Linked DNA regions of Nothobranchius furzeri. The protein of the gene in region 1 purifies or fractionates together with the protein of each later gene. This does not show direct contact. Links are inferred from orthologs where the notes say so. Each region holds a gene or a part of one and is shown in the gene's direction. Other genes may lie near its edges.

Region 1 (3,814 bases):
ACATAAATGACGGCCTAACTCAAATACATTCAGGAAACGCCAAGCGGAGGAGGTGTGTTTTTAGGCGACTCTTGAAGACTGGCAGAGATGGGGACAGCCTAACTGAGGGTGGCAGCTGGTTCCAGAGTGACGGTGCTAGGACTGAGAAAGCCCGGTCCCCACGGGTACGACACCTAGAACGAGGGACAGCGAGCAGGCCTTGGTCAGAGGAGCGCAGAGCGCGTGATGGGGAATGTCTGTTCAGGAGTGAGGCCAGATAGGGGGGAGCACCACCCTGGAAGAAATTAAAAACAAAGACGAGGAGTCTGAATTGTGAACGATAGCAAACCGGAAGCCAGTGCAAGGAGGCCAGAACCGGACTGATGTGGTCCAGTTTCCTGGTCCCAGTCAGGAACCTGGCTGTGCTGTTCTGCACAACCTGTAGGCGACGCAGTGATGACTGACACAACCCTGCATAGAGAGAGCTGCAATAATCAAGCCTAGAAATAACAAAGGCATGCAGTACCCGCTCCAGGTGGGCTCTCGACAGCATGGACACCTGCTTATCAAAAGCCACTTTTTTGGCGTTGTCCAAAGTGTCACAAACCAGCGTGGAGCCAAACACGTACTCCATGGCTTTACGCAGGTCAGACTCATAGCCAACGAGAGACAGAGCCGTGTGAACGTTATCAGCGCCAACCTGGTAGAAGAGATGAAGATGTCAGATTAAACCTCATGAAGTTCAGTTCCATCCATGCATTTACATCATTTATTTACATGTAAACATCTTTTTTTAGGGAGAGGTGAATCTGATTGTTTGCAGAGAGATGTGAAGAGACTTTACTTGCATTGGGAAAAGTCCTTTAGAAGGCCATTTCCTGGGTTTTGGGTTGTTCTTCATTTTTCTAAAATTACTATGTTATCACCAGAGATTAGGCTTTGCACGAGAATGTCAGTGAGAGGTGGCTGAGTGTTCGTTTATGTCTGCCTGCTGTCTCAGAGATCCAGAGCAAGGGTGGGACCGCGCTAAGGTGAAAGGTCTGCTCGCTAACCTGATCTCCGTCAGCGACGTCACTTACGCCACGGCTCTGGAGGTGGTGGCAGGCGGACGGCTCTATAACATCGTTGTCGACACTGAGGTGGGATTGTGTTTGATGCGGCGTCACGATGAGCCCCTGTGTGAGCTGGGGGTTGACTCCGATTTGGGTTTTTTCTGTAGGTGACGGGTAAAAAGCTGCTGGAGAAAGGGGAGCTGCAGCGGCGGTACACCATCATCCCCCTGAACAAGATCTCTGCCAAGACGCTCAATGACAAAGTCATCACCACAGCAAAGAAACTGGTGGGACAACTGGCGTGAGCGGAGAAATCTGGGATTATCTAATCTATGCTCTAATCTATCGTTTGTTTTCTTCTACCAGGTTGGCGCTGATAACGTTCACACGGCTCTGTCTCTCGTTGGCTATGAGTCTGACCTGCGTAAAGCCATGGAGTACGTGTTTGGCTCCACGCTGGTTTGTGACACTTTGGACAACGCCAAAAAAGTGGCTTTTGATAAGCAGGTGCTGACCAAGACGGTTACCCTTGGAGGGGACATCTTCGACCCACAGGGAACTCTGAGTGGAGGTGAGAACGACGAAATGGCGGAGAGATGATGTTTAGAGTTCTAGTTGGTCAGATTTGTATTTCTTCACGTGCATCTGTAAAAACAACTCCTCTGTTTTGTCGTCCAGGTGCTCGCTCTCAGTCTGCGTCGGTTCTGTCCAGCCTGCAGGAGGTAAAGGACGTTCAGGACAACCTGAACAACAAAGAGGCTCAACTCCAGGGAACAGAGCAGGAACTGGCCCGCCTTAAGGGAACCGCTGAGAAGTACGCTGAATATCTGAAAGGGACAATGTTTTTGGTGTGTGTGTGTGTGCGTGTGCGTGTGTACAAAAATACCTCGCGAGCCCCTAGAAAATTAAACTTTTAGGACGTAATTAACGGATCTATGACTGATTCACTTTTGGAGTCGACGCAGATTTAGACGGTCGCCTCGGCTGACCAAACACACGAGCTGCTACAACTCGCGTCAGGTTTACAGATTTTGACTGTAAATGCGGTGCGTAAGAAGAAGAAAATATCATTTCTTTTTTTTTTTCAAATATGTTTATTATGAATTTCAGATTAAAACAGAACAAAATACATCAACCCCCTTCCCCACCCCAAGAATCCCCTCCATCCCACCCGAAAATATCATTTCTATAGCGCCTCTCAAGATAAAAATCACGAGGCGCTTCACAAAAACAAAAAAATGTTAAAATATAAAAAAAGCATTTAGAAAATGTTTAAAAATATATTTAAAATGAGCAAGAATAGGCAATTGGGATTTAAAAGAAAAAATGTAAAGAAAGAGAGAGTGAATAGGAAAGAGGGAGATCAGTGGATCCTGAGGAAGGTGGAATAGGTGGGAGGAGCAGAATAGAGAGAGAGAGGTGAAGAAGGTCATACAAAAGCCAGCTTGAACAAGTGAGTCTTCAGCTGCTTTTTAAAGGAGACCACTGAGTCCACTGATCTCAGGCTCAGGGGGAGAGAGCTCCAGAGTCTGGGGGCCACAGCAGCAGATGATCTGTCACCTTTAATCTTTAGCCTGGTGCTGCACAACCAGTAGGCTTTGATCACTGGACCTCAGGGACCTGCTGGGGGTGTAGGGACTAAGAAGATCACCAATGTAAGATGGTGCTTGTCCATGTAAGGCCCTATAGACCAGAACCAGGATCTTGACATGAACCCTGAAGTTGACTGGCAGCCAGTGAAGCTGGAGGAGAAGCGGGGTGATGTGGGTGTGTTTGGAGGACTTGGTCAGAAGCCGAGCACAGGCATTCTGAACCACCTGTAGACGGTTCAGGGAGGTTCTGCTCAGACACGTGAAAAGAGAGTTACAGTAGTCTAAGCGTGAGGAGATGAAGGTGTGGAGAACTGTCTCAAGTTCAGAGCGGGACAGAATGGGACTCAGCTTAGCAATGTTCCTGAGATGCAAGAAGGAAGAGCGAACAAGAGAACTGACATGAGAATCCAGGGTGAGAGCTGGGTCAAAGGTCCCACCAAGATTCCTGACAGAAGGTTTGGTGTGAGAAGCAAGCTGGTAAGTTAGTAAGCTGGGAGTCACCCCCATCACAGATGCTGTGAGGTCTGATAATATTGCACGAGGCGGCACATAACGTTGTTGAGAAGATTCAACCAAAGACGCTTCACTTTTATTTAAATTGTAAAATAAGATGATCACCTCTCTTTAATGTAATCCTCTCTCTCCGTCATAATGCGCTCCCTGCAGGTACCGACAGCTGAAGCAGGAGCACGAGCTCAAAGCGGAGGAGGAACAGATCCTGCTGGCTAAAGTGCAGCAGAGCTCCTTCCACCAGCAGCAAGAGGAGCTGGAGAGGCTTCGCAAAGCCATCGGTTAGCGCTCAAAGTTTTCTCCTTGGCTGAAATACTCTGGATGGTTTTGTGCTAAAGAAATGTGTGTGTGTTTGTCTGACCAGAGGAGAGCGAAGAGACCTTACGAGTCACCAAAGAGGTCCAGAAGCGGGCCGAGGAGAAATACAAGGTGCTGGAGAACAAAATGAGAAACGCCGAGGCTGAGAGGGAGAAGGAGCTGAAGGCCGCCCAGCAGAAACTCAACGCAGCCAAGACCAAAGCTGATGCCTTCAGTACCAAGTTAAAGCAGAAACAGCAGGTGTGATGGTGGAATATTTAAAAAGTCTCATCTGAAGGATCTGGTGTCCATCGTGTCTTGATACATGTTGAGTATTCTCTGATCTGTGTTCTTGCTCAGGAGTCTGATGCTGTGGCTCTGGAG
Region 2 (4,241 bases), about 29 Mb from region 1:
TGGATTTGTATCTACTGAGGAAGGTGCATACCCAACTAAAACACATTTATGATGCATTTTCACAAGCCAGACATGTGGTATGACCTGTTAATTAGAAATATGAATATAATTTAATAATATAAATACAAATATGAAACACCAACTGGTAGGTTAGAAAGGTCAATAGTAATCTCAAGTGATCTGTTTTCAATAGTGTTTATTTATTTTTACAACCCTAAGAAGGTGCTATACAAATAGGACAATAGATGCCTGCGGGCAACATACAATTACAAATAAAAAACAGCTAAATTAAAAACAATAATTTGAATGCATTGCTACTTCAGTCGGATATTAATCAGGAAGGGAGGCATCCACCCGCCCGTCCATCCTCTGCATCCACGTCAAGTCATGTCTCCATGTGTGGAATGGAGGTGGCTGCATCTACAATCAGTATGGAGCTAGGATTGGGACAATATTCAGCGTAACTTGTACCAAGTTTTGTAACTTCGAACTTCATCACATGTAACTTTGGATTTGTAACTTGTAACTTTAGTTTTCTAACTTGTAATTCTCAATTTGTACTTGTATTTCTTGTTTTGTAACAGGAAATTTTCATTTTGTACATGTCTTTTTTATTTTGTAAAATCAAACTTTTATTTTGTACATTTACTACTCATTTTGTAACATCAAACATTCATTCAGAAACATGAAACTTTCGTTTTGTAACTAGCAGACTTCCAAATTGAAAAAAATCAAGGTACAAGTTTGAAATCAAAACTCTCAAAACACACATTTCATTATACAGGTACAAACCTCAAATCTACAGCAGATCTTTTTGTCTCTATTCTAGCGTCAGTGGGAGGAACTTGGGTGGAACCAATGAGAGCATGAGTCTTAGCTACCAATCACGTTTCTCGAATTCCTGTCCAATCATTGGGAGAGGAGGGCAGGGTTCTGTCAGAGCTGTAGAGGGAGGGTTAGCTCCATAAATCAGCATCAACACAAACACCAACTAACTCAAATTTTTGCGCTTACCTTTCTATTTGCTGACATAGTTTTGGGGCCACTTAGGACTCAAACCCACAGCCTTCTCCAGTCCACGGGGCGTCTATGATGTCTGTGGTGAAGACCATCACAGATGTCATACAGACAGAGGTTTTATTTGTGGTGTTTTGTCGCCATCAAGTGGTTAGTGTTGTCGGGACAGTAGCGAAGGCAGCGTCAGGAACGTTTTAACGTCAGCACGTAAACTTTCCATCCAAATTTGCGCGGGTATGCAGCTGCGGCAGTAGAATGCCATATCCCTGTCGTGAATCCTGAAAACATTAATTAAAAGGTAATCGATCGCGTGAATGGGTTTTATTCCTCGTTTTTCATCATTGTATTACTTTTTTCGACGATTTTTGATAAGTGTGGTGTTTTAAATGAGTAAAAAGCATTTTTTGCTAACGTTTCACGGGCAGCCATGTTTGTTTTGGTTTTGGTATAGTAATAGAATCTGCTGGAAGCAGAAACTAATGTTTCTGGACTTTCTTCTACGTTTTGGGTCACTTTGGAACCAGGAATCATGTCCAAGCGAGAAGCGTTTTTAGACGGCGTCTGCAAGGAAAACGTGGAGGACTTCCTTCGTTTTATTCAGCTTCATGTAAGTAGCTACTGTTCATTAACAAAGATGGTGTTTTGTTTGCTCGGCGATTTCATGACTCGTGTTATAAGAATTATTAAAATAATAAGTTAAATTCTGGACATAGACGCAAGAAACAAACGCATAAAAGTTGCTTTAGTTGAAAAAAAACCTGTTTTTTTATTTTAAAAATTGTATAATTTAAAATAGCGAAATTAAATAGACATTTCTAGTGTTAAGTGTGTTTTTATTGATTTTTCACAGTAAAACTACAAATTATTGTCGTCTAATTGGATTTAAAGTCCTACCTTATTTGCATTTTTGTTGCACAACATCCCATAATACACACAATTGATTTCTATTTGATACAAAATGAGACATCTGCAGTAGCCTGGGTCCGTTGGGGCTTTGTTAGGGGGATGAATCCGGTTCATCTGAGTTTACGCCAATAAAGGAAAGTTTTTATTTGGGCAAAAATGATGATGTCCTCCTCACAAACCAAATTCTGAGCTCGTTCAATGGGATAAAGAGGAGATAAGCCTCCATCCAGGGACCAAAGTACATCATTTGGTAAACAGGGTCTTAATAAACGAAGGAGCTTGAACGTCCATTTATCTGCAGTTCATTTAGTTATTAGTTTTAAAATATTGTGTCTTTAAGTCTCAAAATATTCAAATATTTTGATGAAATTAAATACCTCCAACGATCTTTAATACAACATCAGGCCAAGGCGGGGACGCTTTTTGTAAACATGGAGGCTTTCTGGGTATGTGCTTCCAGGAAATCTGTGGCTGAGATAATAAATCTGTGCGTCTTTCTGAGCAGAAGGACAAAACGGAGCCCTTTGATGTGGAGGAGGTGGTGCAGGAGATGTCCAGAGAGCAGAGGCTGGCTCTGTGGAGGAGGCTGGAGACCCTCCTGCAGGACGTCTTGCTGGAGTTACCTCCACAGCGCTGGGAGGAGCACATGCAGCAGGAGTCGGCTCCGGATCCCGTGAGTCTGTTCAGTCGTAGCAGGAGATTCCTGATAGCAGGCTTTGATCTAGGAAGCTATGGCTATAGAGTGTGAAAAACCTTTTGGGGAGATCTTAGTTTTAGATATTTTCCCCAAAACCTTTCCTACAGAAACAAGTCGTAGCTGTTGTGGACGGTGTGACGTTAGTGGCTACGACGTCCCTGAAGGTTTTACAAGACGGTGACACCTACGACGCACTTTTGCAGATTGCCCACAGGCTTCATGGTGAGTGTTTTTAAAAACTTAATCCAGTCTAACATATTCAGATTTAACAAATTAATTGGGAGTTTTAAGAAACATCTCCCCCCCCGATCGCGCTTAGATAATCCTAAATCCAGTTGAATCAACATTAGCTCCATCTTTCTGGGGTTTTTGTTTTGTCTCTCCTATCAGATGTTTTGGTGTCACTCCCCGAGTCGCAAGCTCATTTGCAGCTCCACATACAAACTCTGTTTGAGGCGTGGTGGAAGAAAGGGCTGCAGGAGAGAGAGAAGTTTGGCCATGTGACCTTTCTCATCTCTCTGCAGAAGAGCTTCACCTTACAGAAACCGGTTCGTTCATCCTGCTTTCACATTTCCCATTCCTCCTGAGACCTGATTTCATTTGCAGCTCGTTTTTGTTTTCAGGGGGCTGAGATCCAGCGAGTGTGGAGTCTCCACAAAGTGCTCCTGACTCTGGATTACGAGTTGGACAACAAGCAGCTCACCGACCTGCTGCTCCAGTGCGTCCAGCATCCTACGTACATCAGAAACGACGACGTGAGTCGAGCGGATTAGGGTCGCCTGCCTCTGTCCATGATCTGTCCTGATGATGTGTTTATCTTCACAGGGAAAGCGATTCCTTGTGTTTCTTTTCAGCTGGAATGTGGATTTCATCTGGGTTATTCATGGAACCATCAAGAACCAGCTCCAGTTTTACAACAAGTATGAAGCCTAAGTTAGTCTCAGCTTCTATTGGGTTTACAATCTACTTCGATTTCGTCTGATTTTCCCCTTTTTTCCAGAGGCATGATCTCTCAGATTTCAGAGATCTACTTCAGAGCTTGGAAGAAAGCTAGCGGGGCCTTCCTGGAAAAGATCGAGAACTCCTGCATTCAGGACTTTATGCAGAACGCCATCGTTCTCCATCGAGCATCTCCTGTTCACTCCAAAGTCCGACAGGTAGGATGTTAAATAAGCTTTTTAAACGCTTAACCCTCATTCACGTCTAACTTTCTGTTCGTTCTTGTAGATTATGAGCTACTTTCACTCCAGGAAGGGCTGCCACAGCGTGGACAAGATGCTGTTTGATCTGTACAAGCCGATACTCTGGAAAGCTCTGAGCGTATGCCGACATAAACACAGTTTGTACTGATTTAAGGTGAGTTTGTTTTCTGACGTCTGCTTGATTTGTTCAGGTTCCAAACTTTGAGGTACGCGCAAACGCCACCTTGCTTTTCACCGAGGCCTTCCCGATCCACGACCCAGACCAAACCAACACGGAAATAGACACAAACATCCAGAAACAGCTGGACACAGCAATGGTAGGGATTCTCTAAGAGACTCGTGGAGGGATATGGTATCAGAGTAACAGTCTGCGTCCTCTCCAGAGCCTCCTTGATGACCCTCACCCCACCGTACGCTCC

What was found.
Region 2: the proteins of smc2 (region 1) and ncapg2 purify together in Homo sapiens (affinity purification with western blotting; 4 studies listed by BioGRID and IntAct, with this or other methods). This does not show direct contact. The link is inferred for Nothobranchius furzeri from reciprocal best matches to the Homo sapiens genes SMC2 and NCAPG2.

The regions. Positions count from the first base shown.
Region 1 is NC_091747.1:76,181,449-76,185,262, forward strand, and holds part of smc2 (structural maintenance of chromosomes protein 2), read left to right. Parts: intron 1-979; coding exon 980-1,118; intron 1,119-1,198; coding exon 1,199-1,318; intron 1,319-1,397; coding exon 1,398-1,602; intron 1,603-1,709; coding exon 1,710-1,845; intron 1,846-3,289; coding exon 3,290-3,414; intron 3,415-3,497; coding exon 3,498-3,691; intron 3,692-3,790; coding exon 3,791-3,814. UniProt on the Homo sapiens protein: Central component of the condensin complex, a complex required for conversion of interphase chromatin into mitotic-like condense chromosomes.
Region 2 is NC_091747.1:47,249,624-47,253,864, forward strand, and holds the start of ncapg2 (condensin-2 complex subunit G2), read left to right. Parts: upstream 1-1,230; 5' UTR 1,231-1,315; intron 1,316-1,541; 5' UTR 1,542-1,546; coding exon 1,547-1,624; intron 1,625-2,428; coding exon 2,429-2,596; intron 2,597-2,727; coding exon 2,728-2,842; intron 2,843-3,010; coding exon 3,011-3,168; intron 3,169-3,243; coding exon 3,244-3,375; intron 3,376-3,445; coding exon 3,446-3,540; intron 3,541-3,620; coding exon 3,621-3,777; intron 3,778-3,847; coding exon 3,848-3,940; intron 3,941-4,013; coding exon 4,014-4,139; intron 4,140-4,205; coding exon 4,206-4,241. UniProt on the Homo sapiens protein: Regulatory subunit of the condensin-2 complex, a complex which establishes mitotic chromosome architecture and is involved in physical rigidity of the chromatid axis.